2 linked regions of the Schizosaccharomyces pombe genome follow. The protein of the gene in region 1 binds, or shares a complex with, the protein of each later gene. Each region holds a gene or a part of one and is shown in the gene's direction. Other genes may lie near its edges.

The links.
Region 2: the proteins of med7 (region 1) and srb7 are in contact, whole or in part, in a crystal structure (PDB 5N9J), measured with the Schizosaccharomyces pombe proteins. Residues at the interface, in NP_596734.1 of Schizosaccharomyces pombe: Gly203 (codon at 4,544), Phe204 (codon at 4,547), Arg205 (codon at 4,550), Ala206 (codon at 4,553), Asp207 (codon at 4,556), Gln208 (codon at 4,559), Arg224 (codon at 4,607), Ala225 (codon at 4,610), Leu228 (codon at 4,619), Arg229 (codon at 4,622), Ser232 (codon at 4,631), Arg233 (codon at 4,634), Leu235 (codon at 4,640), Met236 (codon at 4,643), Phe239 (codon at 4,652), Ile260 (codon at 4,715), Leu264 (codon at 4,727), Leu267 (codon at 4,736), His268 (codon at 4,739), Ile271 (codon at 4,748), Asn272 (codon at 4,751), Tyr274 (codon at 4,757), Arg275 (codon at 4,760), His277 (codon at 4,766), Gln278 (codon at 4,769), Arg280 (codon at 4,775), Glu281 (codon at 4,778), Leu283 (codon at 4,784), Ile284 (codon at 4,787), Leu287 (codon at 4,796); in NP_596630.1 of Schizosaccharomyces pombe: Cys3 (codon at 3,398), Arg4 (codon at 3,401), Cys5 (codon at 3,404), Thr6 (codon at 3,407), Leu8 (codon at 3,413), Gln9 (codon at 3,416), Ile12 (codon at 3,425), Asp13 (codon at 3,428), Ala16 (codon at 3,478), Phe19 (codon at 3,487), Ser22 (codon at 3,496), Ile23 (codon at 3,499), Leu65 (codon at 3,730), Phe69 (codon at 3,742), Ile72 (codon at 3,751), Asp73 (codon at 3,754), Ile76 (codon at 3,763), Asn77 (codon at 3,766), Leu79 (codon at 3,772), Pro80 (codon at 3,775), Gly81 (codon at 3,778), Ile82 (codon at 3,781), Ser83 (codon at 3,784), Thr84 (codon at 3,787), Ala85 (codon at 3,790), Pro86 (codon at 3,793), Gln89 (codon at 3,802), Lys92 (codon at 3,811), Ile93 (codon at 3,814), Lys95 (codon at 3,820).

What each region holds. Positions count from the first base shown.
Region 1 is NC_003423.3:4,168,771-4,178,264, forward strand, and holds med7 (mediator complex subunit Med7), read left to right. Parts: upstream 1-3,589; 5' UTR 3,590-3,871; coding exon 3,872-4,117; exon of another isoform or gene 4,118-4,183; coding exon 4,184-5,068; 3' UTR 5,069-5,228; coding exon of another isoform or gene 5,229-6,677; 3' UTR 6,678-7,018; downstream 7,019-9,494. Other genes in the region: ubiquitin ligase Doa10, read left to right, coding at 1-2,715; adenylosuccinate lyase Ade8, read right to left, coding at 5,229-6,677; SPOM_SPBC14F5.10C (ubiquitin-protein ligase E3), read right to left, coding at 7,482-8,942.
Region 2 is NC_003423.3:3,912,370-3,917,003, reverse strand, and holds srb7 (mediator complex subunit Med21), read left to right. Parts: upstream 1-3,365; 5' UTR 3,366-3,391; coding exon 3,392-3,433; intron 3,434-3,474; coding exon 3,475-3,568; exon of another isoform or gene 3,569-3,621; coding exon 3,622-3,651; exon of another isoform or gene 3,652-3,699; intron 3,700-3,703; coding exon 3,704-3,954; 3' UTR 3,955-4,134; downstream 4,135-4,634. Other genes in the region: importin alpha family nuclear import signal receptor adaptor Imp1, read right to left, coding at 1-378; exoribonuclease Rex4, read right to left, coding at 1,452-2,201, 2,276-2,308; atp17 (F0-ATPase subunit F), read left to right, coding at 4,495-4,548, 4,601-4,634. UniProt on the Schizosaccharomyces pombe protein: Component of the Mediator complex, a coactivator involved in the regulated transcription of nearly all RNA polymerase II-dependent genes.

The sequences.
Region 1 (9,494 bases):
TCTTCAATCTCTCATAGTTCAAATGCTTCGGAGAATATTGTAGATGGAGCCGTTACCCAAGCCAATGGAATTGAATCTGATTTTACTAGAGTGGATCATGAGCCTATTATTGTCAATAATGATGATGAAAACGGTAACAATGAATCAGAGAATGAAGAGGTTATTGAAGAAGATAATTTAAATAGGAATGTTATAGCTGAGGCGCAAAACCAAGTCGTCGCTGACGAAGAAAGAAATGCCGTTGCTCGCGCCGCCCAAATAGCTGAAGCTGATGATGCTGACGATTTTGACGGTATACTAGAATTTCTAGGTCTTCGAGGACCCATTACTGGATTCTTGCAAAATTGCCTCGTTATTGCTTTCGTCGTTTCCGTATTCTTGACAACGGCTGTGGGTATTCCATACATGTCTGGACGCCTTATGGTTGAGTGGATTTTGTTTATCATTCATCGCCCGACGTTTATATTACGTTTTATACTATCTTTCGTTAACATTTTATTTGACTGGACTGTTGGTGGGGCTTTTAATATTGTGAAAATATTAACTAAACTTCCTCTGTTATCAACTGTTTTCGTAAAACTTAAGCTTCAAGGAATTTTTTCTTCTTCTTTCCAACAGGTTTCAAATAATATGTATAGTTGGATATATGATCATGTATTTTCTTCTTCCGATCATGCCTATGAATCGCTGATATATTATATGAAAACTGGACATAAGCAAGTCGTTCAATCATTTTCTATTTTTCCGGTTTTCAGGGTTTGCCAAATGTTTGCTGTCATACTAAAAGATTTTGTTGAAAATTACTCTAATAGACCAGTAGACCGAGTTTTTACTACGCTTATCGGATACTGCATGTTTACGTTTTTAGGGATTTCATATCTTAATCGCAAACAATTTCTATTTAATGACCCTCAAATCAGGAATGTGGAATTAGCTTTTAGAGAAGTTTTGAGACAATGCGGATCTATAGCAAAATTCGGAATAATTTTTTCTATCGAATTGGTTGTTTTTCCTATTTTCTGCGGGATATTGCTAAGCATGTGCTTAATTGGCACTTTCAAAAAGCTTGCTGCCGAGAATCTTCTCAATGTAATGACAGTTTATCCAGCACAAAGCATTTTTTTGGCATGGTTCATTGGGATAACATTTATGTTTGAGTTTGCGGTTTTCATTTCCATGGTACGTAAAATTGTTCGTCCTGGAGTCCTGTATTTTTTGCGTGATCCAAATGATCCTCAATTTCATCCAATTCGTGAAATTTTAGAGAAACCTATGCTCTTTCAATTGAAGAAAATTGGATTCAGTGCAATACTCTATTTCGCTTTTATTATTGGCTGTGTTGGTAGCGTTATCCATCTTTTAAAGTCAACTGGAATAATTTTTCCTATTGAATTCACTACTAAGCCTGCTGTGTTTGAAGCACCAATTGACTTGTTAGCGTTAGAAATTCTCATATTTTTAAGTATTAAATTATTTAAACCTCTCGAACTCACTAGAAGTTTTTGGCGAACTTTGGTGTCAACATTCTGCAGATGTTTACGTCTATCATCATATGTTATGGGTCAAAGGTATAGTGATGAAGAGGGTTATTATCCCAAGCAATATTTTTCTTTTCTTAGAAGGATTATAAGCAAACCTTCGGATACCGAAAACCAAGATGATGGTGATAAGCAGAAAGCAAAGAAAGACTTTGTCCAAGACGGTTTCTTTTTGTGGTGTCCTTCTAAGGATGTTGTGCCAGTTCGCCAAGGAGCCATGCTTATACCTGTGACAGAAAATGGTTATGAAATTTTTGGTGAAAAAAAGAAGGTCGAAGAAAATGCGGACTATACCATTACTTATGCACCTTCTAATTTTTATAAGCGTTTGATCGCTTTGTTGTTATTTTGTTGGATATGCTCAACACTTGTGACAGTATTGTTAGTGTTTGTTCCACTTTCATTAGGAAGAGCTATTTATGCTTGGTGCTTTCCTAATGTGGTAAAGCACGATTTTTATGCTTACGCCATTGGATTTTACTCTATTTCTTTTCCAATGTATGCAATTCACGCGTCTGTTAAGTTTCTGAAACTTGACTATTTACGAAGCCTTATGAATAAACTAAATTTAAAAATTGTTATGAGGAGCTTAGTAATGGCGTTAAAATATCTTTTATTAGCATTCCTTGGAATATTTATCTTACCACTCTTACTTGGAGCTATATGGGAATTATACGTCGCTATACCTTTCCGAACGATATTTAACAGAGGGACTCTTGCTCTCGATGCATTCCAAAACTGGGTGATTGGTCTTTTTATGCTTCGTATGATATATTTTACTGTGACTTCTAATGAAGAGCGTTTCGTTTCAAGGTTGTTTCAAGATGCTTTTCGTGATAGATGGACGAATCCTCAAATTCTTCCATTATTAAAAAATGTTCTCATCCCTTTTACATCAGCCTTAATAGCCGCCGTTGTGTTGCCAAGTGTTTTTACTTACGTAACCTATCCTTTTCTTTCATCCATTTTCCCTTCTGCATCTAAAACCCTTATGTATCGGTTGATGCATCCTATATTTTTAGCATTACTTGGGCTAGCACTCTTGGGGCGCCGTTTTGTAGAAACTAGTAGTAAATGGTCGCAAGGAATACGTGATGATTTATACTTAGTTGGTACGAGACTGCACAACTTTGGCGAATCTGCTCCTCCAGCCATTTCTGAGTCTGCCGAAAAATAAAAGTCTAGTCATCTACTATTTTTCAGATTATCCTTCTCTTTGGAAAACTGGAGCGAGGACATCTGAAGTAATATAGAGCATTGTGAATGTATATTATTTGAATGATGTTTTTGTTTTAATTGCTACGAAACTGTTAGTTTAGTTGCAGGAAATTACAAAAAGTCATCGTTTGAACAATTGGTTTGTTATTGTTATATTGCCAGGCATCTTATCCAATTTATCGTAACTGGTATTATCATGATATGGTGCTATTTATTTAATTTTCTTTACAAAATTGAACAAATATCAATTATCGTTGAATTTCTTTGATGTATCTGATGACTGTATCAAACCGTAGCAGCGAAAATTTGCAGACAATCACTAGCAATGGATAAATTAGTTAATTACTAAAAAGAAACAGTTATAACAAATATGTTTACTACGGTTATGTGACAAATTTATGAAAATGTAAAAGTTCGTAGTATTGCATGTGTTGATTTTGTAATCCATTCAATACTAACTAATCCTTCGTATAGAGGAATATCAAAATACTTTATCACTTAATCAATTTAAATTTTACGATTATGTTGGCCTAGTAAAATATTCATGTTAAGGATTTTATGGCATTCAACAATAGCGATAAGCTGTAATATTACAAGTAATAAACTCCTACTTAATTCGTTTCCAAGCCCATTTATTAAAAAGAATAATTCAGTGTTGTTAAAAGAAACACTGCAATTCTCTAAAAATTAAAAAAGCCAAGAAGTGTATAATTTTAAGCTACTTTAATCAGTGAAACTAATTTAAAACCAAGAATGATTAAAGATATCGAAATAAACAATTTATAGCAAAATTTATTGGTGATAGAAGCTTTCACTTCGTATTCCATATGCCAGATAAAACTACCCACTTTTACTGACTATTCCAAAATCCATTTTGAGCAAAAGATCGGTTATTTTCAAGTGTTTTTATATTCAGGATTTTCATGTCAATCAGTTATTGAGCGTCATATCGTTGTTCAATTACGGTTTTCTTAACATTATAGAAACTGCTTTTCTAAAAAAAAAAAGAAAAAAAAAGAGCAGGCATTTTTATACTAAGAATCAGCGATAAAAGGGAAGACAGTTACATCAATCTAAAATCTAGTTTACGATAAATACTATTTAACTAAAAGAGAATGGAACCAAACGAAGGAGTACAACTGTTTTCGGCTTTTCCGCCTCCACCTCCATATTATAAGTTATTTACAAGAGAAAACATAGAAAAAGTAATTTCAAATATGGAGAAAGAAGCAAAACATGAGGATGACGCGAATACTTTACAACCTAAGACTGAAGAAGAAATAGAGTCGCTGGCCAAGCTGTTTAAGAAGCCGTCATGTCTCACATCTGGGACTTATCAAATGTTTGGTGACACATGGAGGGTAAGTTTATTTTTATTGTTTTACATTAGCTGCTTTTCATCTCTCACTAACTTATATCGCTTATAGCTAGACGAAGCTATACCTTCACTCAAAGAATTTGGAATCCCTGAATTATATAAAGATATAAAAGATGGAGAAGATGAAATTGAAGTGGTAGAATATGATCCTAAATCCAATGCGATAGTTGGTACTAGTTTTACTCGTGTACACGATTATGATAAAAATTCACCAATTGAAAATGAAAAAATTCTGGAGGATGATCAACATACGGCCATGAAAGAAAAAGATAATGAATCTGATAAGACAATGAAAGATGTCGAGGAAAAGACTGAGCCCTCTCTTAAAAAGGAAGAGGAGGATATACAAATGAAGGAACCTTTAGATTCTCAAGATACTGGAGCTGTTTCAGCTTCTTCGGTAAACGAAGGTTTCCGGGCAGATCAAAAATCAAAGGATGGAGAAACGAGTGATTTGATAAAAATTCCCCGGCGAGCTTATGAACTACGATTTTTATCCCGCTCACTTATGCTTAACTTTCTTGAACTCCTAGGGATTATGGCGAAGGCACCCGAACAGTTTCCTTCTAAGGTTGAAAACATTAGGGTGTTGCTGCTCAATCTCCATCATTTAATTAATGACTATCGTCCACACCAATCTCGTGAATCTTTAATTATGCTTTTAGAAAAACAATTAAAACATGAAGAGTCGCAGGTTGAGCTATTACGTACTCATAACCGGCAAATGACCGAAACTTTGGAAAAGTACAAATCATTAGATTTTAATATGGAGAAGGAAGGAGATGTGATTCAACAATTAAAGTCGTCAATAAAAAAGCCATTGTCAGGCGCTGAAGATGAGCAAAAGTCTAGGTCTATGTTCTCAAAAAATGACGAGAAATTAAAAAAATCGCTTGAATTAATGGAAGACGTGATAAAACGAGATCTTAGCTAATAAACCGGTTTATCTAGTAGAGTTATTTTGCTATTTCCTCTGCTTTTAATATTTGTTTTACAAACAAAAATTCATACTAACGATGAAAAAAATGTATTCTTTCTATTTTAAACAAATCAAAAAAGTTCGTATCCACTACGAAGCAAACCAAAATTTATATTTAAACGGCAAGATCAACCTTTTCCTCAGTGATCATGCTCTTGAAAGGCGCAAGCGCTTGAGAGACGTCCTTATTTACAAAGGATTCAGTCTGCTCGGGAGCACGTCCAACAAAAGTGGATGCATCCAACAAAGAATCTAGCTCATCATAAATAGGAGCAAAATAAGGAGTATTCTTAATACGCTCAATTAAGTCGTTATCCCCTCCCTCTTCCTTGACTACTCGGCCAGCTTGATGAGACAAGACACGAATCTGCTCGTGACACTCATGACGACTAGCACCGTGCTTAGTCATAGCCATGATAATGTTTTCAGTGGCCATGAAGGGCAATTCAGCACGAATGTGTTTTTGAATAACCTTAGGATAAATGACCATACCAGAAATAACGTTCAATAGAATCTTAAGAACGCTATCTGTAAACAAGAAGGCTTCAGGTAACAGAGAACGACGGTTAGAGCTATCATCCAAAGTACGCTCAAACCATTGAACAGAAGCAGTATTAAGAGCATTAGGAATCAAGTTCATAATATAACGAGCTTGAGAACAAATACGTTCACAACGCATTGGATTACGCTTGTAAGCCATAGCAGAACTGCCAATTTGACCAGCCTCAAATGGCTCTTCTACTTCTTTCAAATTAGCAAGGAGACGGATATCAGTTGCAATCTTATGAGCAGTAGCACCGAAAGAAGCTAATGGTTGCAAAACGTCAATATCGATCTTACGATCATAGGTTTGGCCGGTTACAGGATAAACGTTATCAAAACCGGAAAGCTTGGCAACCAATTTATCCAATTCCTCAACCTTGGCATGATCGCCCTCAAAAAGGGCTAAGAAGGAAGCCTGAGTGCCGGTGGTACCCTTGACACCACGGAAACCAATGTCATTTCTAGCTCTTACAAAATTTCTCAAATCCCATAAAAGCTCTTGAATCCAAAGAGTGGCACGCTTACCAACGGTAGTTAATTGAGCTGGTTGATAATGTGTAAACCCAAGAGTAGGAATGTCTTTGTATCGCAAAGACCACTGGCTAAGACGATTGATAACGTTGACTAACTTAGGGATCAAAAGATCCATGGCGCTGCGTAAGAAAATCAAGTCAGCATTATCGGTTACAAAACAGCTAGTAGCACCCAAATGAATAATACCAGAAGCAGCAGGAGCAGCAAGACCATATGTATAGATGTGAGCCATAACATCGTGTCTCTGACGCTTCTCTTCCTTAGCAGCGATTTCAAATTCTGGAGCTGTAATTTTGACATGCGCTTTAAGTTGCTCAATAGCTTCATCAGTAATTTGAGTTAAACCGAGTTGCTTTTCAGCAATGGCGAGATTCAACCACAATTGTCTCCAAGTATTAATACGCATTTCTCTTGAAAAGAGATGAGACATTTCAGCAGAAGCATATCTTGCTGTCAATGGTGTACTATATGAACCATAATCCTCCATATTCGATAATCTTAAGCTCGCCAAAAAATTTCTACCTGTTGTGGTGAATGGACAGTGAGGAACCAACACTAAGTAGTGCTCTACAAATGCTCCACCTTGAGAAGACCATCAGATTTATTATTTTGTAATTTCCATATTAATTAGTTAACGCGCATGAAAAATCAAACGATAATTTATTGTGCCTCCATGCTTCATATGTAGTATTCACCTAACCCACCAAGCAAATCAATTGAAGATCAAGTATAGAGGAGTAAAGGTGCCTTTCCACATATGTTAGCAATATTACAAAAGGGGTTATAAATTTACTTTAACCAATGCCTAAGTAAGAAAAAGACAGAGACCACTTCGTCAATTGAAACTTGTATTCTTAAACTAGTGAATATGAAATGTGAACTAGTAAGAGCAGAAAATTAATTTCTCTATAATGCCAAAATCTACTTCATCAGCAGATAACGAAAACCAAAATTATTTTGGATTATACTATTAAAATATCTTCACAGTGAAAAAGTAATAAACAAAAAACCATCAAGAAAAATAAATATTAAAAGTTGCAAACATCAACTATTAAATAAAGTGTGAAACAAAAAGAGAATTCTTGCTGTATTGGCATGGGTGTTTTTAAATTGGTCAAAGAAATATTCATGACAATCAACCCCAGATATTCTCAGATGCCAAGAATTAAGTGCTCATTTGTATAGGGTAATTAGATGTATTTTGATCGTTTTCGAGATAACCTTTCAGTAAATCAAAGGCTATATTTTATGGCCCATACAAAGGGCGCGCGACTTCAACTACAATTAAAACTCAAGCAATGGTGCAAGCACTTCCAACACGATACCACCAACTTTCTTGAAGTTGAGTTAACCAAATAAGAACCAAAACCAGTCGATCGGTCGGGTTGTCAACTTGCAAAATGCGAGTTTTCTCAAGCTCTGAGATAGGAAGAAGATTGGTGATTTTGTAAGACAAGTCAGCAATTGACTGTCTAGCCTCCATTTTTATATCGATTAAAGGTACAACCCAATGAACATATGTTCGGCGGGCATTCATGTAAAAAGCATCTATTCTTTCAACTAATTCTTCATTACTTAGATTACCATACATTAATAGATATTCAGGCTCAGGAAATTGGAGTGGAGTGGCTCTCAAAGGAGTATCATAGTGCTTTTCAATTTTCACTCTCGGAAACAAACCATCAGCTCGAAAATCGATTATACGAACACAATATGAACCACGGGCTTCTACAAGACTTCTCCCATCGATCAAAGGCTCGACTTGGATAATTTCTAAAATTGTACCATACTCAGAACAAAAAAGACGTTGACCACGAGCATTTCGAAGCTCTCGATGCTCATTATGACCATCACTTCGTGCTCTTAAAGGCATTGCAATACAAAATCGCTTAGAAGTCTCCAGACATTTTTTGATCATGATGTGGTATCGCAGTTCAAAAATATGAAGGAATGTCGGCATTCTGGGATATGCAAGCATGCTAATAAATAACGGAAGCCAACTTTCCTGTTCCTTTTCTTCTTCCCATGATTTTTGACGTTCTAACCAATTATCTGGGTAAAAATCTCGCAAAAATGTGGTAATAGAGTGGCTTTTCGCATGTTCCAACACAACAGGAGATGGGAGCCCAAAACGACAAGTCGGGCATTGAGGAGACTGGGTTAGTGCTTGCATAAGGCAAGGGCCACAAAATGTATGTCCACATGGAGAAACAACTGGGTCATAAAGCATGCCAAAACAAATTTGACATTCCAATTCTCGAGAAACATTCTCTTGTAATAGGTCCTCCATATGTAAAAATTCAGCTACTGCAGTCTCATAAGAAGATGAGGAAGGTATTAAGTTATGAAAAGTGGGAGGCAGCAGAGTAATTTCAGTCAATGCAGAAGTACAAGGTGGTGACGAAGAAAGACAATCGTCATGACAAATTTCCTCCTTTAATTCCAGCGGTACCAAACTCTGCTGAGAAATTTGAAACTCTGTAGTTTTAATCAATTCAACCACTTTGGAAATGATCACATCTTTCACTTCGGTCTCTACAGAATAATGCGGTTTCTTATGGTTGTAAAAGCAACATCTTGAGGGACTAACTTTTCCAGAGCTTTCCGAAGAATATGCGTTTCGAAAGCATTTCCGACAGACTGTTCCTCCACAAGGAAGTGTGACAGGCCAGTCAGGCAAACAATTACAGCCCGGACAAATAAAGTAAGACCTTATTTTATTAAATAATACTCCTGGCCTTTCTTTTCTCATTTTTAATCGCTCGTAAAACTAATTCAGATGTCGATTGCTAATGTCAAGTAATTTTACACTCGTTAATTCCATGGATGACTCCAGAGAATACTAGAAACTTAAAAATATTGTTTTTTTTTTTTTAAGAAAGAATATGAACCTTCTTCAATTATTTCAGTCGAAAAAGGAAAACCTCATTAATTCATGAAATTACTGATGACATATCTTCATCACGCACAAACACTTGCTGTAGCTATCTATAAAATAAAGACTTATTAACAATTCTTAAAAGGATTTATTCCTTTAATTTATGTTAATAAAGCAATTCACAACAGAAAGACAAAGTGATGCTGTGTTGTAAACGGATGACAGCATAAATATGGTGACATTATATATATATATACATAATATAACGTTACATCCGTGTGAATTGCTAACATGATGATGGAAAAGTAAAAAAGACGAATATTGCAATTAAAAAGCTTTAATAATTAAAATAAATTAATAACTTTAATTGATAAAAGTACAGGAAGTAATTACCAGTTTATTATGGTGAAACGGCAAACAATTGTA
Region 2 (4,634 bases), 260 kb from region 1:
TACGAACCGGTCAACAACACCACAAGCAATTACCTGATCAATAGGGGGATGCGTCTCCTTAGAAAGATATTTCCTGAATTTCGTGACGGCACCTAATTGTAGCTCAATGTCGTCTGACATCACATCAGCTGTCAATTTAGGAAATTCATCTTTCATTTGTTGCTCCATTTGAACCTGAGACTGATCAGCCTCCTCTTCCACATCAATGTCATTTTGTAAAACAGCGTTTAAATTCCTTCGTTTATTCAAACTTTCCTCACGTTTTTGTTTGCGGATTTCAATTTGCTGTTCTTCACGTTGCCGACGAAGTTCATCAGCTTTGAAAACACCTTTGCTTTTAAAACGGCTTCTTCTATCTGATAAATATCTCGATTCCATTTCTATAGGAATAAACTTTTTTGATATCCTTTTTACTCTTTTTTTTTTAGTTATCTAAGACAGTTGTGGTTGCTGCGAGTTTAATGAGAATAAGGAGGTAAAAGAGCACTTGTGTCGTTCCAAGAAGCAGCCGGCACCCAGGTAACAATGTTCAAAAATAATAAATTTAGAATAATTTGAAATATATCATTTTCCGGTTCAAATCGTTGAAACTTTCTAGATCATTTTTGTTCTGTCATTGGAAACCTTCGCACCATAAAACGGGTAAAACAACATGCTTATTGAGCTCATCAACCAATTTTTCTTGGGTTTTTAACAAGCTGAATGCTATAACAAGAATTCAAAATTTAAAAACAAATGGAATTTTTCTTTAAACAACCTGTCAAGTTGGCCTATTTTTATTTTTATTTTGATTATATAATACATATAGTTGAGCAATTTAATCTTTGAATAAATACTTATTTTTCAAACACTTCCGTATCTGTTTTGTAAGCTATTAATATGTATACATTAATGGTCCATTGTCTAACTAGAATTTATTTGGTAGCTATTATTAATATATATATTTTTTATTTTTTTTGTGATAATAAAGATTAATTCGGTATTTATATAAATTTAGGAATTAACTTAACGGCGCTTGAAAACATATTATCGTCATTCAGTTAAAATGCTCTAAATCATATACACTATAGGAAGTAATCTAATTATATAACATTAACTTTATTAATTCACAAAGTAATTATGAAGACCATATAAACGAAGCTGATAAATCTCTATATCCTTGTTTTTTCCATACATTATTTCTTTCCTTCAGTTGTATGCATCATTTATTTATACTAAAAATTATTAATAGATTGACTATTTAAAACCAGAAACGAAGGAAACAGAAGAGATAAATAAAGAAAGAAAACCAACGATTTCATAAGAGCCAATGAAAACAATATTGCTGTTATAAGCAACCGAAAATATATTTAACATCTGACACATATCCAGTAAAATTATAAGAAACATTTTCTTGCATATTATTAAACCCAAATCCCAAATGACCAGAACGAAGTCTAGTGATTCAAAGCTTATGACTTTGACAAACCTTTGAATGCAACTTCATCCATTTCTTTTTTTACTTTCTTATATAATTCCATCGTTGCTTGGGCATCCTGGACGGAAGAATGCTGTCCAGATTGAATGTCACGCCCAAGAATCACTTCAGCAAGTTTTTTAAGCCCTGGTGTCCTTCCCTTGGCTAATTTCCGATACCCAGAAAATCTGCTGGTATCACGAATCATTCTTCTTGGATGCGATAAAAGTAGTACTTTGAGATCGTTATGGACAGCATGTCCAACCAATACTCGATTGTCGAGTATCTTAGCAACTTCTGCTTGTACTTTTTCAAATGAAGGTGCATCCCGCATGTGAAATGACTTGACACCACTGACCCATGTTCTCCAATCCGTAACCTTTTCTTTAGGACGGACATAAGTATCATACACGACATGACCATGATAATTAACTATACTGACGCGTGCAAGAACTGACATGTCATCTGCCACCCCAACCATTTCACAATCCATTGCAATATATTTCCCCAATGTTTCCAAATTGGTTTTTCTGGTAAGCTTGGAAGCATCCACGCCATATGCGTCAAGGACTTGAGATTCAGGGATATCATTTTCCTTAGCAAATTTCTTTAATTCATTCATGCGTTTTTTATCGACGATATAAGAATTCTCATTCTCATTGTTTTTACCTTTCACACTTTTAAGGTATTTCTTTTCATTAGAATGCTTTTTTTCAACCCGTCCACTCTTAGCGCTGTCGAGTTTCTAAACAACCAATACCGTTAGTATACTTAAACAAGAATCTTAAATGACTTAATGGAAACTATAGCCTTTCATACCTTCTTTAACTTTTCCCAATTGGAAGAAGACATTGCTTGTGCATAAGAGCCAAAGTTGGTGCAAGAAGCAATTTGCAACCTCTTTCAATATGATTCTCAACGCGGTATCACAAATATTTTATCACATTTTAGCACATTTCATTATTTTGAATAAAGCGTTGATGATAGTACGTTACGTTAAGTATCATTATATAAGTCACATGCCTTGTATTTATTTATCTATAGTATATATACATATATTGACAGTGATGCACCATTTGTTGCTTCTTGATGTAACTACTGCCAAATATACGAGACTATGAAATAAATTAACCTCCGTTCTTCGGGTCACCAATGAGCTATTTCAGTGTGTACCCACTTCGTAAGAATATTATAAGGTACCGGTGGTTAATGCATTTCCTAATAAAAGAATATTGTGAATATTCAAGACCCGTAGTAGCATATTCGTTAAACATTTAGTGATTTATGTTTGCTTAAAAGGATAGATTGTATTGAATTTGTAGCATTGTCCGCTATCTTTTTAAAAGCAGAGTACTGCAATTTTAATAACAATGCACCTTCACGTAATATGAAAACACTCAGAATGAATGGATTATCAAAAAGGTACTGAAAGGGGTGGGACTCGAACCCACGAGCTTTCGCACTAGTGCCTTAAACTAGCTCCATAACCACTCGGACACCCTTCCACGATCAAAAATATAATAAATATGTCGAATGTATTACTATTATCATTGTTTTTCTATGTTAATTAAAAATACTTAGCTGATTCTGTAGTTTCTGTAGTTTATTTTTTTTCGCTTTCCATTAATTTTTTTTTAAATTTTATGTACTGTTTTATGTTAAATTTCTTTTGCTTATGTCAAGCGTGATTCTAGCTTAATTCTTTTTCCCGATTGCTAGACAGTCGGTTTTTAGGTCGATACATTACAATTACAAACAATGTCATAAAATCAAAAGCTGTGCATAATAAATATCCGATGCTGAAATAACAGAAAAGTTAATTAGCGATTTATTGTTCTTGACATTTGCGCTTCAACAATTGTTACCTGCATCATGGACCTTCAACAACTTGCGACTTTCAACTCTTTTTAACTCATATTACACCTACATAAAAAAATGGCATGTAGGTGTACTCAGCTTCAAGATACAATTGATGAGGTAATGGGACTAGTTTTCTTTTTCTATTCTAACCTATGTAGGTTGCCACACAATTTTACTCTTCCATTCATTATTTAAGTTCTCATCATGATTTCGTTCCTTTACCTGGTCAAGAAAAGGTTTCTGATTCTAAAGGTATACAAGATTCATTATGATGCTATTCAAAGTAGCTACTAACAAATTATTAGTGAACCCAATTTCTGCTGAAGAGTTACAATGTACGATATTAGACGTCCTCTAGTCATTTTATGTGCTAACTTCTTTTTGTAGTCGCTCAAAGGGATCTAGCAAAAGACTTGGTTACAAAATTTATGCAAATAGACACTTTGATCAACCAACTTCCAGGTATTTCCACTGCACCAAAACATCAATTAGAGAAAATTAAAAAGTTACAAAACTCCATTGAAGAAAAACAATTGGAGAGGAAGAGTTTAGAATCAGAAAATGAAGATTTAAAATTACAATTGGCCAAGAGGATTGAAACATTTGGCCGGTTATCATGTGTCCTATTTCAGCCCTGATGATAATATGTAAGCAAAATATGCATACTAGCATACTCTTCTAGTTGCCAGATTTATTGAAGTTTTAAAATATCTTTGTCTGAGCTAAGAAAGAAGATGTGATCGCTGGAAGTGGGCTTATCATACGGGCAGCCTTAGATATACTGTTTTGACAAATGATTCCATTTTTATTAACGAGCTAATCTTTTTGAATCGATTTACATAAATATCTATCTACTTGTAGTTTTTAGAATGCCTTTACTTCATGCTGACGAGTACTTGACTGAAGTAACTAATTGTGAAAGCAGCTATGAAGTCTTAAAAAATAAACTAATAACAAACAGAATTTGAAAAGTAAAAAAATAGCAAATTAGCAAGGATAGTTTCTTATAGAAGAAAGAAAAAAATCCCTGATTTTTTAGAACGTTTAACGAAATTTACAAAACAATACGCTATTTTTGTTTAAGAAAAAAAAAATCCATTAACCATTCATTGCAAGTTCCTTTGCTATATACGACGGGAATTGAACATCACCATATTCACTTTAACTTAATTGTAATCATGGCTCCATTTCCTTTGAAATCGTTTATTCCCCCTCAAGTAGCGAATCCTACAGTAAGATTAATTAAAAAAGTGATAAATATAAACGAAAATCTAACTAAGATAGGCTTTGAATGCTTTTCCTAGCTCTGCTAGGATGG